Macaca fascicularis: one gene and its partners. The protein of the gene in region 1 interacts with the protein of each later gene in a pairwise test. Links are inferred from orthologs where the notes say so. Each region holds a gene or a part of one and is shown in the gene's direction. Other genes may lie near its edges. The genes, in order: TASOR2, KLHL40, CARD9, PRKAB2, LDOC1, NEK6 and ERH.

What was found.
Region 2: the proteins of TASOR2 (region 1) and KLHL40 interact in binary tests that used the Homo sapiens proteins (3 or more experiments, as listed by UniProt). The two-hybrid records come from large-scale screens. The link is inferred for Macaca fascicularis from reciprocal best matches to the Homo sapiens genes TASOR2 and KLHL40.
Region 3: the proteins of TASOR2 (region 1) and CARD9 interact in binary tests that used the Homo sapiens proteins (3 or more experiments, as listed by UniProt). The two-hybrid records come from large-scale screens. The link is inferred for Macaca fascicularis from reciprocal best matches to the Homo sapiens genes TASOR2 and CARD9.
Region 4: the proteins of TASOR2 (region 1) and PRKAB2 interact in binary tests that used the Homo sapiens proteins (3 or more experiments, as listed by UniProt). The link is inferred for Macaca fascicularis from reciprocal best matches to the Homo sapiens genes TASOR2 and PRKAB2.
Region 5: the proteins of TASOR2 (region 1) and LDOC1 interact in binary tests that used the Homo sapiens proteins (3 or more experiments, as listed by UniProt). The two-hybrid records come from large-scale screens. The link is inferred for Macaca fascicularis from reciprocal best matches to the Homo sapiens genes TASOR2 and LDOC1.
Region 6: the proteins of TASOR2 (region 1) and NEK6 interact in binary tests that used the Homo sapiens proteins (3 or more experiments, as listed by UniProt). The link is inferred for Macaca fascicularis from reciprocal best matches to the Homo sapiens genes TASOR2 and NEK6.
Region 7: the proteins of TASOR2 (region 1) and ERH interact in binary tests that used the Homo sapiens proteins (3 or more experiments, as listed by UniProt). The two-hybrid records come from large-scale screens. The link is inferred for Macaca fascicularis from reciprocal best matches to the Homo sapiens genes TASOR2 and ERH.

Annotation. Positions count from the first base shown.
Region 1 is NC_088383.1:6,689,006-6,691,836, forward strand, and holds the end of TASOR2 (protein TASOR 2), read left to right. Parts: coding exon 1-27; intron 28-1,136; coding exon 1,137-1,251; coding exon of another isoform or gene 1,252-1,255; intron 1,256-1,604; coding exon 1,605-1,608; 3' UTR 1,609-2,331; downstream 2,332-2,831.
Region 2 is NC_088376.1:105,537,718-105,541,671, forward strand, and holds the start of KLHL40 (kelch-like protein 40), read left to right. Parts: upstream 1-1,154; 5' UTR 1,155-1,236; coding exon 1,237-2,388; intron 2,389-3,756; coding exon 3,757-3,917; intron 3,918-3,954. UniProt on the Homo sapiens protein: Substrate-specific adapter of a BCR (BTB-CUL3-RBX1) E3 ubiquitin ligase complex that acts as a key regulator of skeletal muscle development.
Region 3 is NC_088389.1:2,998,057-3,002,037, forward strand, and holds the start of CARD9 (caspase recruitment domain-containing protein 9), read left to right. Parts: upstream 1-1,181; 5' UTR 1,182-1,892; coding exon 1,893-2,244; intron 2,245-2,681; coding exon 2,682-2,819; intron 2,820-2,979; coding exon 2,980-3,284; intron 3,285-3,423; coding exon 3,424-3,603; intron 3,604-3,687; coding exon 3,688-3,831; intron 3,832-3,981. UniProt on the Homo sapiens protein: Adapter protein that plays a key role in innate immune response against fungi by forming signaling complexes downstream of C-type lectin receptors.
Region 4 is NC_088375.1:113,066,662-113,070,161, forward strand, and holds part of PRKAB2 (5'-AMP-activated protein kinase subunit beta-2), read left to right. Parts: intron 1-2,197; coding exon 2,198-2,364; intron 2,365-3,179; coding exon 3,180-3,273; intron 3,274-3,498; coding exon 3,499-3,500. UniProt on the Homo sapiens protein: Non-catalytic subunit of AMP-activated protein kinase (AMPK), an energy sensor protein kinase that plays a key role in regulating cellular energy metabolism.
Region 5 is NC_088395.1:147,495,054-147,499,175, forward strand, and holds the start of LDOC1 (protein LDOC1), read left to right. Parts: upstream 1-1,322; 5' UTR 1,323-1,431; coding exon 1,432-1,872; 3' UTR 1,873-4,122. UniProt on the Homo sapiens protein: May have an important role in the development and/or progression of some cancers.
Region 6 is NC_088389.1:19,725,348-19,729,274, reverse strand, and holds the end of NEK6 (serine/threonine-protein kinase Nek6), read left to right. Parts: intron 1-1,833; coding exon 1,834-1,944; 3' UTR 1,945-3,427; downstream 3,428-3,927. UniProt on the Homo sapiens protein: Protein kinase which plays an important role in mitotic cell cycle progression. Required for chromosome segregation at metaphase-anaphase transition, robust mitotic spindle formation and cytokinesis.
Region 7 is NC_088381.1:137,312,893-137,317,174, reverse strand, and holds the start of ERH (enhancer of rudimentary homolog), read left to right. Parts: upstream 1-1,482; coding exon 1,483-1,485; coding exon of another isoform or gene 1,486-1,577; exon of another isoform or gene 1,578-1,709; intron 1,710-4,282. Other genes in the region: SLC39A9 (zinc transporter ZIP9), read right to left, coding at 1,266-1,577. UniProt on the Homo sapiens protein: May have a role in the cell cycle.

The DNA of each region.
Region 1 (2,831 bases):
AAGCCAGGTTTGCTGTCTTCCTAACAGGTAATTCACAGGCCCATTTTACTCAGTTAATGCCAAAATTGGTCAGCTCTAGGAATGTCCAAGTTGAGCCATTTAGATACCTGACCATTTAGATACCTGACGAATAGTATCAGGTATTTAAATGGCTTGGCATCCCATGGATACCAGAATCACCCAAATCTGCTGATGCTGAAGCCCTTATATAAAATGTAGTATTTACAGGTTAACTCCACAATCCTCCTATATATGTTAATCAGCTCTAGATTACTTACAATACTCAATACAGTGTAAATAGTTATACCTGTATTATTTTTTAAATAAATACTGGGGCTGGGCGCAGTGGCTCACACCTGTAATCCCAGCACTTTGGGAGGCAGGTGGATCACTTGAGGTCAGGAGTAAGAGACCAGCCTAGCCAACATGGTGAAACCCCATCTCTACTAAAAATATAAAAATTAGCCGGGTGTGGTGGTTCATGCCAGTAGTCCCAGGTGCTTGGGAGGCTGAGGCAGGAGAATGGCTTGAACCCCAGAGGTGGAGGTTGCTCTTAAAAAATTTGTGGGGCAGCCAGGCACAATGGCTCACACCTGTAATGCCAGCACTTTGGGAGGCCGAGGCAGGTGGATCACTGAGCCCAGGAATTTGAGGCCAGCTTGGGCAACTTAGCGAGACCTCATCTCTACAAAAATTGGGAGGTGTGGTGATGTGTGCCTATGGCCCCAGCTACTCAGGGGGTTAAGGCAGAAGGATTGCTCGAGCCTGGGAGGTCAAGGCTACAGGCTACAGTGAGCCATCATCACACCACTGTACTCTAGCCTGGGCGGCAGAACAAGACCCTATCTAAAAAAAAAAAAAAAAAAAAAGTGTTCAGAAAAATTTACGTAAAGAACCATAATTATCATTTTTCAGAGATTTTCTTCAGTATTTTCCCCACCACCCCTGATGGAGGCATCTATTCCCAAAGCTTCAAATCTTTTCTTAGCTTGGAACCCAACACCTTTTCTCCCCCTACCTGCCACACGAGGAAGTTCCACAGATTTTTTTAAATAAAAAAACCAGGTCCTGCAATGTAAAAGTGCATTAATTAACCAAAAGTTTTGTGTTTTGTTTTGTTGTTGTTGTTTTTACAGACAAGCCTACTATCCCCAGAGAAGTCTTTGAAAATAGTGGAATCCTTGTTACAGATGTAAATAACTTTATAGAAAACATAGAAAAAGTAGCAGCTCCATTTAGGACTAGCTATTGGTAAGAACACTTTTTAATGTAACTTTCCCATGTGAGTTGGAGCTGTTGATGGCAAATACTGACATTTGTGTCTAAGGGAAACTTGTTTACATATTTCATGCTATAAATTTAAAGTGTTTAGGGGTGGAATTGCTATTTGGCATAAATAGGAATTCCTAAATGAAGAAACCATCTACTAAAATTACCCATTTTATCTGATGTGCATTTTCACTTGCTGTTAACTTGGATTGCCAGTACGGAACATAATGTAACCTTAGAGTGCATAGGAGTTTTCCCCATTAGAGCATCTCACTTTTGAAATATACTTGTTCATATTATTTTAAGAAGTTCTTATCAATTTTGTGTTTCTTCAGGTGACTCAACTACAGCCTGCCTGGATATGGATGATGCCAATAAAAAATTATTATTTTCCCTTTGGAAAACTTGTGAACATGTGAATACACATGTGAACAGTCTTATATTTGAAAAATCAATGTTCTACAACCTGGGAAGTTTTCATTTTCTGTATTTTGCTGAAATATGTCACAGTGGCATTGTAGTTGTCCGTTATCTTTGGGTTGCAGTGCTAGATACTGTTTTAAATTATTTTCATTTTAAACAAGATGCCTTCTAAGCTATTGAGCTTAATATTAAAAATAATTTTACAACATGTTTACTTAGTTGGAGCAAAAATAAGTCTATTTTAACAAATAGCTTTGTTTTTGCATGCTAATATCAGAAAGGCCCATGATGCACATTATGCTCTGTTTTAAAGGTTTTACCATCCTTGTAAAAACTATAATCTTAAATGGTTTTATTTGCTGTTATACAAACAACACTACATAAACTTAAAACATTTTTTCCTAAATGGTACAAATTTATAAACTATCATTTTTCACTTATGGTATCTGTAAATACTACACTACAAAAATCAGCTTTCTGAGAAAGAAAGAATCATTTATTTATGATATTGAAAATTTCTACAGTAAAAACTCAAAACCACGCAAAAAACGTTTGTAAGATACATGGTATCTATTTGGAGCAAAGGCTTTTTTGTAACTAATTTGTTTCCTTTTTTTAAATAAAGAGAACTAAAAATCATCTCTTTCTGCAATGATTTTTATAGCAGAAATTGACTCATCTGGAGTGCTCTAGCAATTTTTAGGCCACTTAGCAGAACAGTAAGCTTCCACAGGAAACCTCCACTTCTGTCCTTTGGGCCTGGCCTGTTCTGTTTCTGGGTTCTTTCCCTCCCAAAGTCAAGTACACTGAGTAACAGGTTAAAGAATGGCAATTTCACCTGGCTTTTACAGGGAAGCTTCTCTCAGAAGTCATTAAGTCGGTTTTTATTATTCCTAAACAAAAGAGCTTTATTTTCTCCTGAGTAGGTTTTAGAGTTTTAATTGTTGACAGTTTTTCAGTTACTAATAGAACCGCAATCATTTCCTTTCATTTTTCCAAGGACAGGAATCTATTAAGGGAACCATTAACTATTCAGTACAGTGAATTACTTCCAGATTACTAAGGAAAAGGAAAGTGAGCAGGTATAAGCTGCCCAACACCTATCTGCCTGAAATATGCACCTTTCAGGTTGGACCTAG
Region 2 (3,954 bases), on another chromosome or scaffold:
GACTGTCCTGGGCTTCAACCCTGGTCCCTCAGACCATAGACAAGGTGCAGGGGCCCCGTGGCCAGGCAGGCTCAGGTCTGGCCTAATATGCACCAAGAATAGTGAGTATAGACAGCTAAAGTCCTGAAATATTAAACCTGTAGTGTTACTTTTTGAACACTAGAATTCAGAATGTCACTCCCCTACAATGTTAAAACCCTGGGGGTTTAAAAACCTAGAATAGTAGAATCCTAAGAAATTAATTTTCTAGCACATCTGACACCTTAGAAGTGTTAAAACCCTCTAATAGTGTACTTCCAGGACACAGTACCTTGGTGCTTCTGAACCTCCAGCAGAGCTGAACTGAGGCCCTTAGTATCTAACTTTGCCACCTCCTCATTGTGTAGGAAGGGAAACTGAGGCTTAACAGAGCGACATGTCCTGTCCCAGGCCTCATAGGAAAGTGGCAACCTTGTTTACCTAAGGTACTTTCTTGCTTTCTTGCAAGGAGGAGGGGCAGAAAGAGGAAAAGCTCTTCCCATTTTAAAGGTGAGGCAATGCGGGGTGGGGGGTGTCTTATGTATGTAATCTCAGCTACTAGGGAGGCTGAGGCAGAAGGATGGCTTGAGCCCAGGAGTTCAAGACCAGCCTGGGCAATATAGTGAGACCTTGCCTCTTAAAATAAAGGCAGGGCAACAGGGCTGCCAAAAAGTGAACACCATGTCCAAGTTCTGACCAGAAAACCCAAGGACCCTGTATCCGGGGATGGCTGGAATGAGACATATTCCGAGGAGGAAGATGGAGGCACCAGGACAGATGTTCCCAGAAAGCATGAAGGAAGGGAGACCCTGGAAGAGGGGCTCCAATGCTTCCCCGTCTCTGGACTGAGGGTCAGAACTTAGGCCATCAACTCTCCTAGGGGCATCTTCGGACCAAAAAATCCAGAGTCAAGGCCTCTCCGTGCTCCATTTAGAAATGAGGCAGCCAGGCCCTCATCTTTCAGAAGGGCCCAGACACCCTACCTCCGTCCCATAAGCCCCTGGGGCTGAGTCAAGGCTTCTCCGGGAGGGGGCCTCTGCCCAGCTGTCCCCTGTGCGTCATGTGCAGGAGGCCAGGCGGCTCGCCTTACAGGGACCCGGCCACCTCTATATATAGCCCCTAGAAGACAGCTGCGCAGTCTAAGCAAGCCGCAGCAGGAAAGCAGGGGTACAGAGAGGAGCCCCCTTGGCACCGCCACCACACCCTAGGCCACCCATCATGGCGCTGGGCTTGGAGCAGGCGGAGGAGCAGCGGTTGTACCAGCAGACGCTCCTGCAAGACGGTCTCAAGGACATGCTGGACCATGGCAAGTTCCTCGACTGTGTGGTGCGGGCGGGCGAGCGCGAGTTCCCGTGCCATCGCCTGGTGCTGGCCGCCTGCAGCCCCTACTTCCGGGCGCGCTTCCTAGCCGAGCCGGAGCGCGCGGGCGAGCTGCACCTGGAGGAGGTGTCCCCAGACGTGGTGGCCCAGGTGCTGCACTACCTGTACACGTCAGAGATCGCGCTGGACGAGGCGAGCGTGCAGGATTTGTTCGCCGCGGCGCACCGCTTCCAGATCCCTTCCATCTTCACCATCTGCGTGTCCTTCCTGCAGAAGCGCCTGTGCCTCTCCAACTGCCTGGCCGTCTTCCGTCTTGGCCTCCTGCTCGACTGCGCGCGTCTCGCCGTGGCTGCCCGCGACTTCATCTGCGCTCACTTCTCGCTGGTGGCGCGCGACGCTGACTTCCTCGGACTCTCGGCCGATGAGCTCATCGCCATCATCTCTAGTGACGGCCTTAACGTGGAGAAGGAGGAGGCGGTGTTCGAGGCCGTGATGCGGTGGGCTGGCAGCGGCGACGCCGAGGCGCAGGCTGAGCGCCAGCGCGCGCTGCCCACCGTCTTCGAGAGCGTGCGCTGCCGCTTGCTGCCGCGCGCCTTTCTAGAGAGCCGCGTGGAGCGCCACCCTCTCGTGCGTGCCCAGCCCGAGTTGCTGCGCAAGGTGCAGATGGTGAAGGATGCACACGAGGGCCGCATCACCACGCTGCGGAAGAAAAAGAAGGGCAAAGACGCAGCCGGGGTCAAGGAGGCTGATAAGGGCACAGGCGAAGCCAAAGCAGAGGAGGATGAGGAGGCCGAACGTATCCTTCCTGGGATCCTCAATGACACCCTGCGCTTCGGCATGTTCCTGCAGGACCTCATCTTTATGATCAGTGAGGAGGGCGCTGTGGCCTACGATCCAGCAGCCAACGAGTGCTACTGTGCCTCCCTCTCCAACCAGGTCCCCAAGAACCACGTCAGCCTGGTTACCAAGGAGAACCAGGTCTTTGTGGCTGGAGGCCTCTTCTACAACGAAGACAACAAAGAGGACCCCATGAGCGCATACTTCCTGCAGGTGCCTGACCAGCCTTGGGAGCTGCCAGCTAATGCTGGGCTCTGGGCACTGGGGGCAGTCTTGGGGCCCAGGAGGGGCTTGTGTCTACACAAGGAAATGCCACTGGGTCTAGGGTGAGATGTAGACTGGGGCGGTTGACTGATAGCCACCTGCTTGAAGGTTGAAGACAGTCAATAGGCAACTGCCAAAAAGCAGCATAACTCTGGTATCTCAATTTCAGGGGTGAGGTAGCCCCAAGTTGGCGTATGTTGGAGGCCCTGGCCCTGCACAGAGGTTGGGGTGGGGCACAGTGAGGAGGAGCAAGGTCTGTGTAAGGATCCTGGGCAGGGCCTCTTGGTGAAGGCCAGGCCTGGAGCTCGCAGCAGTGTCCCAGACAAAGGAACAATCCTGTCTGGTCCTCCCATTGTACAGATGAGGAAACTGAGGCCCAGAAGGGATCAGCAGAGTGGAGTGCCAGGTCTGAGTTGGGGTGTGACTGTGAGATCTCAAAGGGCAGAGACAGTTTCCTGGAGACTGGCCATATAAGTTTGAGCCTTGCCAGTGGGGTGGGATTTGGAGACGTGAAGGGGAAGATGGTAATGTTTCCAGCCAAGGAACAATAAGCAAGGGATAGAACTGGGGCTTAGCCTGGTGGGCAGCACGCTCAGGGAGGCCTGACCAGCGAGAGAGGTGACAGGCACTTGGTGCCAGGGTTAAGCTCACAGGCCTTACAGTTGCACTGGGGATGAGGGCAGCTTCACCAGCTACTAGCTCAGCAGTGTGGACACATTGCTTATTCTCTCTAGGCCTCTGTTTGTAAGTGGGGATACTGTTCTTCCTGCATGATAAGGTCATTGGAAAGTTAAATGATGCTTATAAAGTGCTCATCAGCACAGTGCTCAGCCCTCAGAAAACTTTCCAAAAAGATGAGCCCCTAGTATTCATATCTTTATTACAAGGCTGTGGAGGTGAACAAGGCCATGGACTGTAGCTTTTACAGGGCGAAAGGCAGGACTGTATTTGGAAGTTTCCTGAACAGTGGGATGGGGTGGAGAGCAGGGGGCAGGCAGGCCTCAGTTGGGAGCCGTTCAGCCTGGGAAAGCAAGGCCATAGCTGGACCTCCTTGCAGAGCTCCCCATCATTTCTGTGCTGTGGTGCCCTACCGCCTGCTATAATGGTGGTTGCCGGGAGCCTGCCTGGGCGTGGGGGACACTCATCTGCTCTCAGCCTGATGGCAGGAGGGGCACTGTCTCTCAGGGTGCCTCCCGGCTGCATTGGCCCTACCTGGGTTCCCGACCTCCTCTGCGACCTGGGGCAGCGGGACTGAGTGGTGCTGGGCTGGGGCTGGGGGAGTAGGGGGCAGTTGCTGACTGGACACCTGGCCTGCAGTTTGACCACCTGGACTCAGAGTGGCTGGGGATGCCACCACTGCCCTCACCCCGCTGCCTCTTTGGCCTGGGAGAGGCTCTCAACTCCATCTACGTGGTCGGTGGCAGAGAGATTAAGGACGGCGAGCGCTGCCTGGACTCGGTCATGTGCTACGACAGGCTGTGAGCGTGGCTGGGGTGGGGCTGAGCACCCTGGGGG
Region 3 (3,981 bases), on another chromosome or scaffold:
CCTGGGCTCCATAAGGTGGGCTGCAGCCCTTTCATGACCAAGGCGTGTGCTGGGCATGCTGTGTGGCTGTGTGCCCCCCTGCACATGCCCTGCCCCGCTGTCCTGAGATGCCGGCGAGGGCAAGGGTGTCCGCACAGGGCAGAGCATGCCCTCCTGAAGAAGCCTCCAGAAACCTATGACCAGGTCAAAGCGGCTGGGTGCGGTCTGGCCTCGTCCAGCCTCCTGGGGGTCTCTGCTGTCTCTTCTACTTGCCAGGTGCCCGGGCTGGGCCTCTGGGGCATTCTCAGGACCCCTGGCCCCCGGCCAGGCTGGGAGGGCTGAGAGCAGTTTTCCCGTGGAGGGCAGAGGACTTCCACTTCCGTCTGCCTCTCGGGGCCTCCTGGGCTGCACGAATCAGAAGGCAGGCCACCAGGGACTGTCCCCCTGTGGGAGGACTGGCGGGACTGTGGAGTTAAGCCATCAGGAAGTGCACAGGCGTCCGGCACGCTCCTCCCTCCCTGCAGCCCCAGGCAGCATCTCCCCGAGGCTCCACGTCCCAGGCTCCTGGTGCGTCTGCCGTGCAGGTGGCTCCTTGGAAGACCCTCAGGTGGGTGGGTCTGGTACTTTTCTGAAAAGTGACCAAGAAGGTCGGCGCCGGCTTCGTTCAGAATCCTGGCGCTGATCCCCGCAGAGCAGCATGAGGCTTCCCACAGGCAGCCAGGCAGCCTCCGCCGCGCTGCCCCATCCCTTTCATGGCCACTGGGCGGAGACATGTTCATTTCAGTGGCATTACGGTGGCAGATGGGACCCTGCATTTCAGGCTGGGGAGGCAGGAAAGGGGCCCAGTGTTCCCAGGACTGTCCGCTGTGTGGCCGGTGTTTCTATTCAGCCCCTTGTCTGTCAAAACTGTCCTGAATGGGGTGACAAAGTACAGTGGGAAGTTGAGAAATTCTTCAAAAGACCAAGACCAAACACTTCAAAAGACCAAGTGTCTCCAGGAGTAGTGACCCAGCTCCTTTAGGCAGGAAACCAGCATTTCCCAGTGGGGCTGGAGGCTGAGGACCGGGGACCTGCGTGGGAGGCAGGACCATGTGGCTGTTCCCAGCCTTGCCCCAGTCCCAGAGGGAGTGGCTTTCAGCGGCTGAGGCTTCCACCGCGCTGGCAGAAAGGGACAGCAGTGGCTGGTCCCAACATGGGTAGTTCTCTTGTTTCAGCCAGTGGGATGGGGGTCGGGCCTCATCGGGGGCAGGAGAAGAGTCCAGAGATTGACGGGTGCCCGTCACCTAAGAACCTGGAGAAAACAGCACAGCAGCACTCCTGGCCAGCCAAGGGCAACACCGACAGCCCCTCCCAGCTTGCGGGGCCGGCGGGGAGTGACAGAGGCACGCTCCTGTGGGCAGCTCTTCCCGGCCGGTGCAGCGACCCTGGCAGCTGGGGCAGGGCTGGGTGGCCACTCTTGCATCATCAACAGCCGGCCATGGAGGAGGGAGGGCACAGCGCGGGATGTGAGCAGGCGTCGGTCAGGGGAATGGGGAAGTTCCGCCAGAACCGGCTCCCCCAGCTGCTGCCCTAGTGGGAGGGTCATTGGCCAACCTGCTCTCACCCAGCTTGGGCTGGCCGTAGTGCCAGGCAGGTGCCCACAGCTGCCCACCCGTGGAGGTGGCTGCCCCTGTAGGCTCCAGGGCGTGGTGGGAGTGTCCAGGAGGCGGAGGCCAGAGGCGAGTCATGCCGTGGAGGCCGTTCCTCTCTCAGACCCCATCTGTGTCTCCCCCGCTGCATATCTGGGTGACACGGATGGCCAAGGGGCAGGAGCAGGGGCTGGGAAAGGCTGTGGAGGGGCCCTCGGCTGGTCTGGCGGGGAGCGGGTCACTGTCTCTGCCGCCTCCCTGGGGGATCCAGCATGGGGATGGGACATGGAGCCGGGTACCTCTCCTGGATGCCCCTGGGCTGACCCCCTCGACAGCCCTGACGAGAGCCCAGGCCCAGCGTCTGAGAAGGAGCGGGAGCCGGGCCTGGGTGGGGGCAGGAGCCGGCGTCACTCTCAGCGGCTGCCCCACACCCCCCAGCCTGCCTGCGAGGCCATGTCGGACTACGAGAACGACGATGAGTGCTGGAGCGTCCTGGAGGGCTTCCGGGTGATGCTCACGTCGGTCATCGACCCCTCGCGCATCACGCCCTACCTGCGGCAGTGCAAGGTCCTGAACCCCGACGATGAGGAGCAGGTGCTCAGTGACCCCAACTTGGTCATCCGCAAACGGAAAGTGGGTCAGTGCTGCCCCGCAGGCCCCAGGCCCCAAACCCAACCAAGGAGCCCGCTTGGAGGTGGCTGCACGCTCTGCCACCCTGACCCTCGACCCCAGGAGAGCCCCGCCTGGCTTTGCCCCTGGCGTCCCAGTGAGGCCCAACCTCAACCCTGGCACATGGCCACCCTATCCCCCAGCCTCTCCTGCCAGCTCGGTGCTGCCAAGAGGGGCAGTGGGACTCCCACCACAACGGGGGCTCCTGAGACAGCCAAGGGATGGGTGGACAGCACTTTGTCCCCAGCCTAGTACCAAGACCCACAGGGTGCCTCATCCACGACCCAAACCACAGCACACCTCATCTACATCCCAGCCTCCATCTGTCCCTGCCCCCGGGCCCACCCACCCCAGCCCTCTGCCTCGCCTGTGCCCCGCCCCCAGTTAGGCCCCTCTGGCCCGCAGGCGTGCTCTTGGACATCCTGCAGCGGACCGGCCACAAGGGCTACGTGGCCTTCCTCGAGAGCCTGGAACTCTATTACCCACAGCTGTACAAGAAGGTCACGGGCAAGGAGCCGGCCCGTGTCTTCTCCATGATCATCGGTGAGTGACGGGGAAGGCGGTGGTGGGGGCGGGCAGTGGTGCTGGGTCCTCTGCCCAGGCCCCATCCCTAGGAGCCCTGAGCTCCTGCCACAGCGCAGGGCGTGATAGAGCTGGGCCACCGGGGAACACAGGCACCGTCTAACGCTGGCGCGGCCCACAGACGCGTCCGGGGAGTCAGGCCTGACTCAGCTGCTGATGACCGAGGTCATGAAGCTGCAGAAGAAGGTGCAGGACCTGACCGCGCTGCTGAGCTCCAAGGATGACTTCATCAAGGAGCTGCGGGTGAAGGACAGCCTGCTGCGCAAGCACCAGGAGCGGGTGCAGAGGCTCAAGGAGGAGTGCGAGGCCGGCAGCCGTGAGCTCAAGCGCTGCAAGGAGGAGAACTACGACCTGGCCATGCGCCTGGCACGCCAGAGCGAGGAGAAGGGTGCCGCGCTCATGCGGAACCGTGACCTGCAGCTGGAGGTGCGCCCACTGCCCCCGGGGAACCAGGCCCCCCTTGCCTGGCCTGGTGGGGTCTGCAGGCTGGGGCGGTCGGGGGTGGCCCCGTGGGTCCGTTGTCACCACCTGGAGGGGACAGCCGGGCTCACCGGACCTTCCGCAGATTGACCGGCTCAAGCACAGCCTCATGAAGGCCGAGGACGACTGCAAGGTGGAGCGCAAGCACACGCTGAAGCTGAGGCACGCCATGGAGCAGAGGCCCAGCCAGGAGCTGCTGTGGGAGCTGCAGCAGCAGAAGGCCCTGCTCCAGGCCCGGGTGCAGGAGCTGGAGGCCTCCGTCCAGGTGGGGCCGCAGGCAGGGCGGGTGCAGCCCGGGCAGGACAGCCGGGGCCTTCCCAGCCAGGCCATTGCCTTTTGCCCCCTTCAGGAGGGGAAGCTGGACAGGAGCAGCCCCTACATCCAGGTACTGGAAGAGGACTGGCGGCAGGCACTGCGGGACCACCAGGAGCAGGCCAACACCATCTTCTCCCTGCGCAAGGACCTCCGCCAGGGCGAGGCCCGACGCCTCCGGGTAGGAGGGCAGGCAGGGCGACGCAGCTCCTGGGGGCCAAGCCACGCTGGGTGGGCTGAGCTCCGCCCACTCCGTGCCTGGAAGGTGGGGCCTGGGGACTCCTATGGCCTCCCCCCACATCCCAACTGGCCTGACCACATGCTCCTGAGC
Region 4 (3,500 bases), on another chromosome or scaffold:
TCATATCAGAATCTGAGGGTTATTCTTAGGCATATGTCAAATTCTTGATTCTAACGCAGCCAGTTAGGCAAGGGTGCATCGTTCTGATAATATGTAGTTTTCTCTGAAGTCAATTCCTTATGTGAAAGTCCTTTCAATTCTCTTTCTCTATTTACTTTGGATTATCCTGCTGCTGATGTCTTATACTGTAGTTTTGAGGAATATCAAGAGAATGTATGGAGGGGAAACTATGTCAACCATTTTGAAAAGAAAGCCCATATGAATAAGCTAGTCCTTTAAAAAAAAGAAAAAGAAAAAGAAAAACCCCACATTATTCTATTTAGTAATACTTAGGCTTAATACTATACAGTCTTCTTCACCAAAGTCACTTAAACCAGTCTAAAACAGGGGTCAGCAATCTTTCTGTAAAGGGCCAGATAGTAAACAGTTTAGACTTTGTAGACCATACAGTCTCTGCTATAGCTACACAATTCTGCCACTCTAGCATGTAAGCAACTATAGGCAATATAGGTAAGCAAGGCAGGTATTTTGGTTCATACCTCTAGTCTCAGCTTCTCTGGAAACTGAGGTGGGAAGATGGCTTGAGCCCAGGAGTTCAAGGCTGCAGTGAGCTATGATCACACCACTCACTGCATTCCAGCCTGGGTGATAGAGCAAGGTCCTTTCTCAGTCAATCAGTAAATAAAATAATAGGTAAACAAACGGGCAGAGCTATTTTCAAATAAAACTTGATAAAAGCATCTAGCTCACTGGCTGGCTGCCAACTCTTGGTCCAAAGGATAGTAATGAAAAGAAACTGGAGTTACTGTTTTTACAATCCCACAAACCTCATTTAATAAGAGAGCTACTTTTGACAAAGGAAATTGTTTTTTTGATCTCTTGCTCCTTGAGGTTCTAGAATTTTTATTCCTACTCCTGAAATAATTAGTGTAAACCTGGGATAGGGGAGTAAGTAAGATTTCATAGCCACTTCTCAAGTTTTAAGAAATCAGTGATCTGGTTTTTGAATTTTTAATGTTTCTTCTTTTTGTAACTTGTTAGCTGAAATAGAGTTTATGAATTACTTATAAACTAGAATTTTGATATCTCTAACTTCCATTACAACTGGTAATTGAGAACTATTCATATTTGCCTATAAAAGTATATGGCTGACTTAATTATTTTTTACAGAACCATACTTTGTTTTCATTTTTTTTCTCTCTCTTAAAAAAGACTCGGCCGGGCGCAGTGGCTCAAGCCTGTAATCCCAGCACTTTGGGAGGCCGAGGCGGGTGGATCAGGAGGTCAGGAGATCGAGACTATCCTGGCTAACATGGTGAAACCCCGTCTCTACTAAAAATACAAAAAACTAGCCGGGCGAGGTGGCGGGCGCCTGTAGTTCCAGCTACTTGGGAGGCTGAGGCGGGAGAATGGCGTGAACCCGGGAGGCGGAGCTTGCAGTGAGCCGAGATCACGCCACTGCACTCCAGCCTGGGAGACACAGCGAGACTCCGTCTCAAAAAAAAAAAAAGACTCAGTAACAGGCTGGGCACGGTGGCTCACACCTGTAATCTCAGCACTTAGGGAGGCCAAGGTGGGCTGGTCACGAGGTCAGGAGATCGAGACCATCCTGGCTAACACGGTGAAACCCCGTCTCTACTAAAAAATACAAAAAAATTAGCCAGGCGTGGTGGCGGGTGCCTGTAGTCCCAGCTACTCGGGAGGCTGAGGCCTGAGAATGGCGTGAACCCGGGAGGTGGAGCTTGCAGTGAGCTGAGATCACGCCACTGCACTCCAGCCTGGGTGACAGAGCAAGACTCTGTCTCAAAAAATAAAAAATAAAAAAAATAAAAAATAAGAAAGACTCAGAAGCATATCATAATTGCCTGCCTATGAGTTAAACTAGTGGTAGGGAGTTAGTTTTTTTTCTTTTTTTTTTTAAAGGGAGAGTCTAAGGCTGTGAAAGGGTGAGTGATATAGGTAGACTCAAAAGTTAAGCTGTGATTTAGGCAGTGCTTGAGCATAGGCCATTTGACCATTTTTGGTCCTAGATGAGTTCTTTTTCTATAATTTGTTCAAACTCTGATTTAGTTGCTAATTTTGGGGTTTATATCCTTAGCCAAAGCCTAGCACCCTTCTCTACTCTAGGAAGGAGAGTGACCTTTTTAGAATTCTTGGGTCACAGTTTATTCTAGGGATGACCTACTCCTTCTTACAGCTCCCTGGGGACAAAGAGTTTGTATCATGGCAGCAGGATTTGGAGGACTCCGTAAAGCCCACACAGCAGGCCCGGCCCACTGTTATCCGCTGGTCTGAAGGAGGCAAGGAGGTCTTCATCTCTGGGTCCTTCAACAATTGGAGCACCAAGATTCCACTGATTAAGAGGTGACAAGTATCTTGGTTGAATCTAAGGGTCCAGGAATAGAGACCTGATTTCTTTTCTCAGAAGAGAGACCCAGCTGGACTACTTTTCTCCACCTGCTAAGGACTCTCTCTAGAACATATCTCTGTGGCCACTTAGTATATCTGTGGGATTTTTTTTAACCTCATAGTGAGTCAGAGGTCTTTTATCCCTTAGAATTTCATTGCCTCAGAGGGATTCATAATAGCTTTGTGACTACATTCTTTAGGACTGTGTCATACAAGTCCTGTCTCTGCTTGTGGGAAGTCTTCTGTAACTGGCTGAGTCTTGTTGCTCTGACTTCCGCACTAAAGCAAAACATATTTTGAAGTTCTAGGTAGTCATGTTATTCGTTGCTTCCAAAGCAATAATGAATGATTTAACTGGTTGTCAGAATGAGCCTTTGTATGGTAGTTCATTTTCCAGAAAAGGTTCACCAAAACAAAGTACCTTGAGGCACTTCTGTATCCTGAACCTACCTATCTCATTTGCACTGCTGAGGAACTTGTTCTACTGAAGCAAAATAGTTATACTAGGTGAACCATTTGAGGGGATTAATGTTTTTATTATTCTTTTCCAGATATTGGTTAAGAACTAACGTTGTTGGGAGGAGCTGGTAAATACATGTCCAAGATGATACAGAAAAGGAGAATGGGTTTATATGTTGTTTTTTACACCAGGGATACAAGGCTTAGGAATCTGGGAAGTTATTCATATGATACTATGATTGCCATTTGTTTTTTACATTCAGTCTTCTAAAAGAAACTTGGCCTGTCTGCCTTTCTTTTTTCTTCTGTAGCCATAATGACTTTGTTGCCATCCTGGACCTCCCTGAGGGAGAGCACCAATACAAGTTCTTTGTGGATGGACAGTGGGTTCATGATCCATCAGAGGTAAGGCCTTGATCTCCAAGGGTAACCATTGACTTAGCAGTCTCATTTTAGCTGTCATTTCTGTCAAGACTGATGGGCAACTGCCCCTCTACACTGGAGGATTTCTCTCTTGATAAAATGTGGAGGTGCTGAGTACAATCATGTGTAAATTTTAGTAAAAAAGGAAGGTTGGATGGGAGAGAGAGATTTGAAAGATTCAATAATTTTTTGTATTCACTGTTTCAGCC
Region 5 (4,122 bases), on another chromosome or scaffold:
CGCTTGGTAACCAAGGCTGGAGGAGTGCGCTGGCGCTATCTCGGCTCACTGCCACCTCCGCCTCCCGGGTTCAAGCGATTCTCCTGCCTTAGCCTCCTGAGTAGCTGGAACTACAGGCACCTGCCACCACTCCCCGCTAATATTTTGTATTTTTAGTAGAGACAGGGTTTCACCCTGTTAGCCAGGATGATCTCGATCTCCTGACTCGTGATCCGCCCTCCTTGGCCACCCAAAGTGCTAGGATTACAGGCGTGAGCCACCGCGCCCGGCCCTAATTTTTGTTTTAAAGGATTCCTGTGGCTACTCTATGGAGAATATACTATAGGAAGAAAAGAGTGAAAGCTAAGTGATTAGTTGCAGCAGTCTGGGTGAGAAAGGCTGGGGATCAGGGTGGCAGTGGTAGAAATGACAAGTCATGACTGAATTGGCAATATATTTGAAAGCAGAGCCAACAATTCCTGTCGGCTCTAGGATCAGGGATCCGTTTAAAGTAGAAAAACAAAATTATTTAAAAACACAAACATCTTAACAGTTCATTTTTAAGTACAGAATAAAACCCAGTGGCCAAAGGCACTAACAGCAGGACAAGAAATAGAGAATCAAAGATATGTGGGATGCCTGCAATTGATTATTGGATGCTCATTTTGCAAAACTTCTTTATATCCTGCTACTTAGGTTTGTTTTTTTTTGTTTGTTTGTTTTAAGGGAGTATGCCGTATTATTCCCCTACTAAAGAAGTCACTGTTTAAATACTGCCTTTTTCATGAAAGGCAGGAACCCCTGAAGGTCTTCATGATCCTAAAAGGAAGTGTGAGTCCCACAGTGCAGCCAGCAGTGTCAATACTTCTCTGAGTGAGATTTAAACAAGAAAGAAAATGTGTTAATAAAACATCACGCCAAGAGAATCTAGTGGCCACAGACCCACGAAGGAACAACTGAGTTGTGAGAGTTGCCTAGGTAGAAGGGTGGCTAATCCTTTCAGTTTGAACAAATTTGCCTTCTCTGAGACCAAACTCAGCGCTCGCCAGGTCCTCTGCTAACGCAGGCCCCACAACCAGGAGCTAGGGGAGCCTACCCCAGCCTTTAACTGCCCGCCTAGAGACCTACCACAAGCCGGTGGTTCAGCGACCCAGTGCATCCTTTTCCTGGCCACGCCCTCTTTGTCTAAACCCTTCCCATCCCGGCCACGCCCCCACGCAGCCGCGGCCCCCAGTCTGGCCACGCCCCTCCCGCGCCGCGCCGGCGCACCATCCGTCCGAATGGCCTCGTGGGCGGAGCTTGCGTAGCCTCCCGGACCCCGGCGCGCACCGCCCCCCGCCCCCAGCCCCTGGCCATCGAGCGTCTCCGTGGACACGCACTTCCTGCGAGGCCTCCGTGCGCACCTTGGCCGAGCCGAACCGAGCCGAGCCCTGTCCTTCCAGGCTGTTCGCAATGGTGGATGAGCTGGTGCTGCTGCTGCACGCGCTCCTGATGCGGCACCGCGCCCTGACCATCGAGAACAGCCAGCTCATGGAACAGCTGCGGCTGCTGGTGTGCGAGAGGGCCAGCCTGCTGCGCCAGGTACGTCCGCCGAGCTGCCCGGTGCCCTTCCCCGAAACGTTTAATGGCGAGAGCTCCCGGCTCCCCGAGTTTATCGTGCAGACAGCGTCTTACATGCTCGTGAACGAGAACCGATTCTGCAACGACGCCATGAAGGTGGCATTCCTAATCAGTCTCCTCACCGGGGAAGCCGAGGAGTGGGTGGTGCCCTACATCGAGATGGATAGCCCCATCCTAGGTGATTACCGAGCCTTCCTCGATGAGATGAAACAGTGCTTTGGCTGGGATGACGACGAAGACGACGACGACGAGGACGAAGAGGATAATTACTAGGCCCTCGGGCCTCGGGGGGAGGGCCCTGCACGCCGTCACCCCCTCCCCGCAGCCCTCACCCCGCCAGGAGCCACTGCTCTCCCCCTTGCCCTCCGGTCCCCTTCCCTACCCGCGCCCGTCTGCTCTTTCTTCATTTCTCCGTAGTGCTTGTCTTTGTTCCAGGAATAGTGCTCCAGTTACCTGCTGCTGGGGTTGGGGCTGGAGCCTCACTCACTCGGAAGTGCTTGGAAGTGTCATCTACCCTGGCCATCCCGGGGATCCCTCCCCTGCTAATCTGAACTGTGTCCTGAACCCCAGCTATTGGCCAGGCCCCTGTTACAAACTGCGCAGACCACCCATAGCCCTGCTGCTGCCACCTGCCCTGCTGCCAGGCTTACATCTGCCCAGAGAACTATGCTGCCACTTCACATCCACTCACCACATCCCACCTACAGACTACCGCCTTTCGAGATCAGGACCAACCTGGAAAATGCCAGAGTTGGCTCTGCCTCTTCGGACATTGATTTGGACAGCTCACCAACCCCTGAAGAGGCCAATCATTCAGCCTGGTTAGTTTTCTACCTACTCCGAGTGTCCTCCCCTGCCATACCAGATTGCTGCAGGGGCGCGGTGTGCCTGACAGCCAAATTGTTGATATTTCTTTTTTCCTATGCACTGGTTTTACACAGCTGTCATTTTTCTTTCAAAATTGCAGCAGTCCCACAGATGTATGCATTTGGACAAATAGTACTAAAAACAAAACAAACAAGCACTCAGCCCAGCTCCTCAATACTACCTGGAAAAAGCATTGGCATTATTTTCAATAAATATCAAGCACTAAAAAACGAAATGACTGTCTTTTAATAGTTAAGTGCTATCACTGACCTCTAGAACTGTCACTGTGACTACCGTTATTCCCATGGAAATCAGGGAATACAACCAATCCTAGGAATCCCTGCTGTCAACTCCAGGCTGCTGGGGACAGCTACCTCAGGGCTTTGTCAGGGTTCTGATGCTTCCTTCACCAACGCATTTCTTAAAGCCCTGGCAAAGGGTGTGTTCTCTGGGTCCTCCAGGGTGGCATGGGTAAGGGTTGGCTGAGCAGATGGCAAAGAGGGCAGTATTAATAATTAGACCATAACAACAGGCATAAACCAGGACATATATATGTATTGCTCCTAATTCTCTGAGCTTTTGGATTCCTTAATATTGTGCCAGGGAAGTTCTGCCCCTTAATCCTTATTGCCTATATGCAGCTGTTGAGTTCAGGCTCCAGAGAGCCAACATAGTACATTGTCACTTTCAAACTCCAAATAGCCAACATGTCACTTACAGGTGCTCTAGCTAACATTAAGTCCCAGATCCTGGGCAAGTGCATCCATAAAGATATACCCTGATCTTAACAAACATTTCATCCTCCTTGGGCAGACATCCTTAGAATTTCCACTCATAGATGTGTCCCAGATTCCTCCCTATGGAAATTAGCAAGATGCTTGGTTATCTCTTAAATCAGACTTTGTACTGCTATCTGGGGGCTATGCTGAGATCTCTGGGCCTGGAGGGTTCAGAGCAGTGAAGGGGGTGGCTGCTGAGAAGAAACTGCATACCTGTGTGAGGCCATTGCCCCAGGTTAAGTCATTGAAATGTTTAATGCAGAGCAGCTTGGTTGGGGATTTGACAGGACTACCTCTTAGAAAGGTTTAGGAGGATGTGAGGGGTTCAGAGTTCTCATTTATATCTGTCCAGATGTCCTCCCTCATTGTACCATGTCTGGAGCCAACTTCACTTTATAACCTTTAATTAATTTAGATAACACATTTCCTTACTGTTTAAGGCCTTTTGAGGCAAGATATTTCATTTGTACTGGTAAACCTCAGTGTTGATTAAATGAGATATGGGGCTTCATATTAATCACCTGATAGGTGTGGATTATATGAGATCATACCCATGCAGCATTTAGAACTTTCCCTGCTACATGGTGAGCACTCAGTAAACCATGGGCTGTTACTCCTGGGCCTGGGGACAGAATTCTCAGGAAGCAAGTCTCTGGCTCTGAGCGTGGCTTTAGTAGGAAAATGTCAGCGTAAAGAGGAGCAGAGCAGGTTCAGCGATAATGGAAATGAGAGCATGATAAGACCCCATTTACTTTTTGAAGTCTTATATGAAGCAAGAAACAAAGCTGTTTACGTGGTGAACAGGCAAAGTTCAGGGTAGGAATTATATCTCACACCTAGGATAGCTGTTTCTGGAGGGTGGGGACAGGGGTGAGTA
Region 6 (3,927 bases), on another chromosome or scaffold:
CCCAGCCACGGAGCCATCCTGCTTCTTGATGGCGTGTCTCTTTGGTGGTCCATCAGTTAGCTGGGGTGAGGCTCTGGAAGGAGCGCCCTTGCCCCGGCCAAGCTGCACAGGGCAGGTCCTGAGTGCTCCGCCCCTGTGTCCGGGCAGGAGGGTCCTCGAGGGGCGCCTGTGCTGAGCCTGTGCTCGCTGGCGTTGCAGACTCCAGGGCTAGAGGAGTTCGAGTGTCGGGCGCTGCGCAGTGCCCTTCCTCTCCCGGCTCCCAAGTTCTGACCTGCACCTTTGGAGGAAGTGTTTCTGCTCCCAGTGGGAGGAAAAACAAGCTGCATCTCTTTACAAAGTTGCCATTTGCTTTTTCCTTTCTCCTCTTCTGAATGCGGACTTGTGTACCAAGCCGTGCAGCTGGAGCTGATGACCACTCTGCTTTGGCCGTCAGTCTAAAAATGGGAGCTGCCCTCTCTGCTTCAGTTATGAGGCTGAAATGAGCACCGAAGCGCCCATCCCAAGTCAGCCCTTTCCCGGCCACGAGCCCTCACTCCCCGGAGCACTGGCTCTCTCTGGGCCCTACTTTTAAAGTTATATCACCGCTTAGAAATGAAAATAAGACTTTATTATTTTTGTTTCTCTTGAATTCTGAAAATTTCAAACATGCACTTATTGCCAACTGTGCGTTTACATCATAAATTAGTTTGAGTCACAGACACTTCACCTGAATCTGGTTTTCTTGGGCATTTTAACCTGTTAGAGGCCAACCACAGGTACCTCCCCCGAATATTGTAAGGTTCAGAAAACAGCCGTCCATCCATAGGCAACCTCAGACGCCAGGAGTGGCCTAGCAGGCTGCAGGCCCCGTGTCCCCTGGGCTTCTCGGTTGGAAGGCATGCACACAGGTGGGAGGGATACCCTAAGGCTCTGCGGCCCAGGGAGAAAATGCCCCATCAGCTGAGAGGAGCCCTAGTCTACAGGAAGCCCAGGCCCCGCCCCTCAGCCTAAGGAGCCTGCGCAGCAGTAGCCCCCGGGCCTCCAGAACGTCCTGTGGGCCCTCCCCAGACTCCCTGAGTGTGGCCACTGAGACCACCAGAGCCCCCTCTGGTTCAAAACCACCCGGCTTCCTGCTGCTGCGGCCTGCGGGGCTGGCCACCCCTCCAGCAGCAGGTATTTAAATGAAAACCAATGGCTATGAGCCCGTGATGCAGGGTAAGATGTAGGCATTTTAAGGTCATTATTTTAATTACCATTAAAATAATTGGCACTCCGGCTATCAGAAGAATGGAGGCGATCAGAGGTGCAAGGCACCCCTCCCCCACCTCGGGGCGGGAGCAGCCTTCAGTGTCTGTATAATTAAAAGCTCCGTCTTTCATGAGCACAATAAAGGGGCCGGGAGGTGGGCAGACTGCAGCCCTGCTGCATGTTAATGCGTTTATTATGATCAATAAGCCCTTGCCTTGAGTTTTGTCCTCTGGTTTGGGCATCTGCGTGACTGACAGCAGATACACACACACTTTTCCCAGCAGAGAGAGACACACAGTTTGCCCAGTGGTGTGGACAGCTACAAGTTCAAAATTATTTGGAGGTTAACCATTCTTAGAGTCTCAAAGCACAGTCTTTGGGACTAGACAGGCCTAGGAAGGGTACTGGCTAGCCCTTGGGAGCCACGCGGCTGCGCACCCCTTACTTGCCCCAGCCAAACACCGTTCTTCGGCTCTAACGGGGAAAACAGGACTGACTGGTTGCTCTGAGGAGGAAGTGCCTTCATGCAGACTGACTGCAGAGTGCGGAGCCTCAGCAAGGCTGCTTTCTTTTCTTGAGAATAACACACCGTTCTCTCCCCTGCAGTTACGAGAACTGGTCAGCATGTGCATCTACCCTGACCCCGACCAGAGACCTGACATCGGCTACGTGCACCAGGTGGCCAAGCAGATGCACGTCTGGACGTCCAGCACCTGAGCGTGGATGCACCGTGCCTTATCAAAGCCAGCACCATTTGCCTTACTTGAGTCGTCTTCTCTTCGAGTGGCCACCTGGTAGCCTAGAACAGCTAAGACCACAGGGTTCAGCAGGTTCCCCAAAAGGCTGCCCAGCCTTACAGCAGATGCTGAAGGCAGAGCAGCTGAGGGAGGGGCGCTGGCCACACGTCACTGACAGCCAAATTCAAAAGTCCTTTCTTTATACTGTTGGGGACAATCTTAGCTGGGTTAACAAGGGCAGGTGGTTCAGCGAGCCACGGCAGCCCCCTGTATCTGGATTGTAATGTGAATCTTTAGGGTAATTCCTCCAGTGACCTGTCAAGGCTTATGCTAACAGGAGACTCACAGGAGACCGTGTGATTTGTGTAGTGAGCCTTTGAAAATGGTTAGTACCGAGTTCAGTTTAGTTCTTAGTATCTTTTCAATCAAGCTGTGTGCTTAATTTACTCTGTTGTAAAGAGATAAAGTGGAAGTCATTTTTTTCCATGGAGTGGAGATTCTGCTAATATTTTTATCTATGTTTTATAACTTGGTGAGTGACGATGAGAGCCCTGCACCTGCCAGAGCATCACAGGCAAATGGCATCGGGAAGCAGGGGCATCTTCCTGGCAACCAGGCCGGGCCATCTTCTCCTGGACACCTGCTGTGTACCAGGCATTTCATCACCTCCTTGAATGCTGGCGGTTCATTTCATGATCAGTGTTAAGCATTTTCCTCCATGGGAAGAAAGGATGGGATGTAAAAAAGCTAAGGGCTATCCTTTACAAATTCTGGTTCTGCAACTTCCTAGCGTGACTTTGGGCTTGGGCAAGTTTCTTAGCCGTTCTGAGCCTTAGTTTCCTCATCTGTACAATGAGATTAATAGTACCTATCTACCTTCAGGATTGCTGACAGAATCTGAAATAAAATATGCAAGTTAGCTAGTACAAAGTAGATGATCCAAAAATGGTAGCCACTCACCCTTCACAAACTGAAGTCCATGGGCCACGGAAGCCAAGAATTAATGTACACCTGTATCGTGTAGGAAACCAGAAAGGTGTTCCTTATTTCTTGTTCCCAAACAGGATTAACTGTGAAGACTAATTTATAAATGTGAACCTAAGAAAACTCCAGCTCTGAAGGAAATCATTTGAATTTTGTTTTTGTACGTAAAGTTAACCTTCCAGTGGTCTGAGCTGTCGTCACTGACTTGATGACAGTCTGGCCCTCCAGACGAGAGCAGCGCTGGCATCGGGCAGGTGATTCCTGACACCTGCTGCCTGCAGGCATTCGCTGACCGGGCTTTTCCTGGAGGAAACTCCCAGGGCCAGACGGCCGCTGCTTCCGCGCGTGGACTCGGATCTGCTGTGACACCGTCTGCCCGACAGTCTCTCCACAGGCAGCCTTTCCTCTGTACTTTTTCTCCATGGTCGAAATAAAACAGGGTGACTGGGAGTTACTTATAATTCATGAAGATTTTAAAATGGCTTTGGAGATTTTGCTTTTAAACCAGTAGGTCCAAAACTTAAAACAGTGTCTGCAGCACAATTGCTTGAGGAACCTCGAAAAACACAACTTCCCAGGCCCCATTCAGTAATCCCAGGATTTCTTTAAGCTCCCCAAATAATTCTGATACTCATCAGCCAAGGTGCTGCGCTCATGAGGTAATTCCATTGTTCTCCCCGGCCTGCTCCTGGCAGCTGTGACATAGGAGCTGGCCTGAGCAGATTCACCCTGGAATGTTCTCTCCAAGGGAGAATCAAGTCCGTGTCGCCTGCCTAGTGCTTACCACTGAAGGTTTTTCTGATTCCAGACACACTTTGTGCCAATATTCTGCTTGCAGCTCTCTGAGCCCCTACCGTGCCTCCCCAACACTGCCAGCCCCAGCATGCAATGAACCTACTTTGTGCATGCCACCCGCTTTCCACACCATGAGAACAATCTGCCCACCTGGACCCTCTGGAGGGGCACGATCTCAGCCACT
Region 7 (4,282 bases), on another chromosome or scaffold:
TCTAGGGAATTGCTTATGGAATACTCCAGGATCTTCCGTGGAAAAATCTATCCACCCTAAGTTAAGAATTCCACTGCTGAATATGAGGTTTGTTTCTATTATTAAGTGTTACGTATCTTTTTAAAAAGATAGTCTTTCTTAATGAGGCCTTCAGCTTTGAGAGTTAACTAGGGAAGCAGCTTCCCTTTGCAACTAAAACTACTACCTCACAGCCATCCCGACAGCTGACAGAAAGTTGAGAATTTCTTACCTCTGAGAAATTAACAGCCAAGGGAATGATTCCAGCCACGTAACATCCCACCAACATAGCCAAAGACAGTAGGCTAATGGAGATGAAATCATCCATTCTGCCCTTCTTTATTCACCCACCACCACTAGACAACAAATTTCCAGTGGCTTTAAAAGGTGCTTAGGTTCTTTAAACAGGTGTGGTGGTTCCAAGAGAGTGGGCTTTCCAGTTCTTTAGGCCTCCTCACCAGCAGATGTGTTCACGAGGCACCTTCCTCTTGAACGTACCCGGAAACAGACCCTTGTTGCTGATATTAGCACCAGAGAAAGCTTACAGCAATCTAGGGTCCCAGGCTCTGGGTTCTGAGATGCCAGTCATTAGATTCTCGTGGGTTAACAGAGATGGGAAAAGTCAATGGGGAAAATGTGCGAATGATCGATTTCTTCGATTGTCGGAATGAGAGTGGCACAACGTCTTACGCGGCGGCGGGTGACTCAAGCGAACCTGTTCGTTCCCTAGGCGCCCCTGTCTCCAAGAGGCGGCCCCGAAGGTGATCCGCCCCCCACGGCAGGAAACCAGCCCACCAGTCCCAGCAAACTGTCCTCTGAGCCTGGGATGCGGAAAGGAGTCCTGCAGGTCTCTAACGATGGGTCCTAGGGGTTCAGCAGCAAAGTTGACACAAAGCTGTCTCTGCCCTATACCCGGTGCTGCCCATGGTACTGCACTCGGCCGGGCCTTGACCCGGAGTCGCCGATACTACAGCTGCCATGGCCGCCAAGTGGCACCTCTTCATTCCATCCACTTCCGGATTGTCTAACCGCCCCCTCCTTTACAAGGGCACTTCCGGGTTACAACCGACCTCTGGCCCGCGATACTTACGTTGCCGCCATTTTTGAGTAGGGCTAATTAAAGATGTCTGATGTCACTGTCTACACCGGTGCTCACTTGAGCCGTATGTTTAATAACGAAAGTACGGAAGACAGCGTCTTGAAACAAAATAATTCTTCCTAAAGTTCGGAAACTTTCCCTTACTTACCTTTTTGCCTTTATCGAAGATGGCTGAAACAGAGTCAGTATCTGCTCTAGCTGCCGGAAGTGACTGTGCCTCTATGATCCAAAAGGCTCTTTTGCGTTGAATTTTCGACGACTTCCGGCGGCTCCTCTCGCGGGGATTGGCTGTTAGCGGCGTTGTGGCTAAGCTCGTGTAACGGCGGCGGTGTCGGCAGCAGCTGCAGCGAAGAGAGTTTGGCGCGATGGTGAGAAAGGCCCCCGCGGCTACCCGAGTCCGAGTCCCCGGCCTCCAGAGCGACCCCAGCCCTATACATTTTCCTCTCCCCACGAGCCCCATGCAGCGCGGCGTGATGCTCCCCGCCACTCCAGTTGGTGGATGGATCCTTCTTCCCGCCGCAGAGACGCCAGGCCTGACTCTAGGCCCCGGAGCGCCAGTCCGCCCTGCGGTTGCGCGCCCGCCTGCTCGCTCGGGTCAGGCGTGCCTTGGACCTGAGGATGAGCTCTCTCCCGATTGTTACTCGGTAGAGGGAGGCATAGGAACGGTGGTTTTTCTGGTTTGTTTTTTGAGACAGTCTCACTGTATCGCCCAGGCTGGAGTACAGTGGTGTGATCTCGGCTCACTGCAACCTCCGCTTCCTGGGTTCAAGCAATTCTCCTGCCTCAGCTTCCCAAGCTGGGATTACAGGCGCCCACCACCTCGCCCGGCTAATTTTTGTATTTTAGTAGAGATGGAGTTTCATCATGTTGGCCAGGCTGGTCTCGAACTCCTGACCTCAAGCAGTCTACCCGCCTCGGCCTCCCAAAGTGCTGGGATTACAGGCGTGAGCCACCGGGCCCGGCCGGGAATGGTGCTTTTTCCCTCCAAATGCTCTAGCCTGCTGTAGGAACAATGGGCCAGGGTTGTGTAACCTTTTCTGGAAGCTGACAGATCCAGCTTACTATATCCAGCATGTGGGCCAGGAGAGGTCGTATTTACTTTGTAGTGTTTTCTCAGCTTTCGTTTTCCTGTGCTCTGCCTTTTTTTTTTTTTTTTTTTTTTTTTTCCTATTTCTGAGACCTCTAGGTAGTTCATGTGGCGCGTCCCTCAGCCCTCGATCCTGTTCTTATCTGTATTTATATCCTCTTGGGGCTGGAGACTGAAAAGTAGGCTCAGCTCAGAGACCAGCTCTATTAGAATCCAACCAGGATGATCAGTAAGCTCCAATTCGAAGAAAGTGACCAAAACTGGCTTGAGAGGTGGTATAATCTGTAAAGAATTTGAGCAGGAAAGCAATGCCATTTTAAAATGACCACATTTTTTAAAATGTATCATGTTACGTTCTTAGTGGTTTTTAATCCCTGTTTTTGGGCAGTAAGTATTGAAAATAGTAAACTTTGCCCAGTGTTCATTTTAAGACTAGATATAAAAAGCAACATGCTGTATAGCTTATTCCATTGTTACGCTTTCAAATTAGTCCTTTAATTTGCATTAGAATTGGAATACAATTATAGTAGCAGTTGAGATAGCTAGTGTATAGGGGCAAGCTCTGTTGCAAGAATGCACGTGGTTTCTACAAAATTATTTTTTCTTAACAAATGACTCATTGAAACTTTTTGAGTAGCTAGCTTACAAAGACTTCTGTGTAACAAATAATCTAATGCTTTCTGTGGCTTTTAAATCGATTTAACAAAGGCTTTGACTGTTCAGGTTATAGGTGAGAGTTAATCCTTCGTCTCTTGTCACCAAGTTCCGTTTTTATCTCACACCCTCTCAAACTTTTAGTCAAAGTGATTTAATTATTGATGGGGAGAGAAGAGTATAACCCTTTGTTTTGCGTGTCATGTTAAATGTACTATTTTTCCATTGTTTATTCAGCTATTTCAGCTCCAATTTGATGGTTAAAAATTCTGATCATTTTGGCCGGGCGCAGTGGCTCACGCCTGTAATCCCAGCACTTTGGGAGGCCGAGGTGGGCAGATCACCTGAGGTCAGGAGTTCGAGACCAGCCTGACCAACATGGAGAAACCCTGTCTCTACTAAAAAGACAAAATTAGCGAGCGTGATGGCATATGCCTGTAATCCCGGGTATTGGGAGGCTGAAGCAGAAGATTCTCTTGAACCCGGGAAGCAGAGGTTGTGGTGAGCTGAGATCGCGCCATTGCACTCCAGCCTGGGCAACAAGAACTCTGTCTCAAAAAAAAAAAAAAAAAAATTATTTTCATTCCAAAACAGTTAGGGTTCCTGTTGTTAGGAAATTTTTGTTTTCTGGTTTTTGGCTGAAAAATACTAGTACAGCAGAAGAGAAGGAAAAAAGTGAATAGTTTGATTTGGGACTGGGTTTACAGTGGAGTTGCATCATACTTGCATTTAATTAATCAACCTTACACGGGTAGCAAAAAATTGGATGGGTCATATTTTCAACAGACCAGTGAATTCTCAGCTGGATGAGATTTTTTGCTCCCTAAGGGACATTTGTCACAAAGAATCAGCCAGCTCAAAATGTAATAGAGCCCAGGTTGAGAAACACTGAGATTGACTTGTTAGTGACTGAACACTAACAAAAACATGTTCCCCAGTGAGCATGAAGTGGAAGACACGTCTGTCTGCTATTTTTCGGGCATATTTCACATTTCTCATAGTGTGATAACCTAACATTCTGTGTGATTCTAATACCTGGTTTTGGTATGAGAAAGCCCAGTAAGGCAAGTCATCTACTAGGTGAATAGTTCAATGGATTTTTAAGGGTAATTCTTATGATGGTTTATATTGCTAATTTATCTACTCCTTTAATGTTAAGTCTAACCCCTGGATAAAATGTGACTTTGCTCTTATGCTAAGGTTGGCAAAAAAAATTGAACCCATGCTTGTGATTATTACACTATTTCCCCTTTTGTTTCCTTTCATCAGCCCATCTGAGTTTTTATTAATGACTTAAGAGCATTAAAGATGGAAAGTGACCACTGGAGACAGAAAACCTAAGCAGGTTTATAATTTAGTTGGGAAGAAAAGATACAAAAGAAAAAGGAAGACAAGGTAGCTTATACTGATAACTTGTAGGCAGT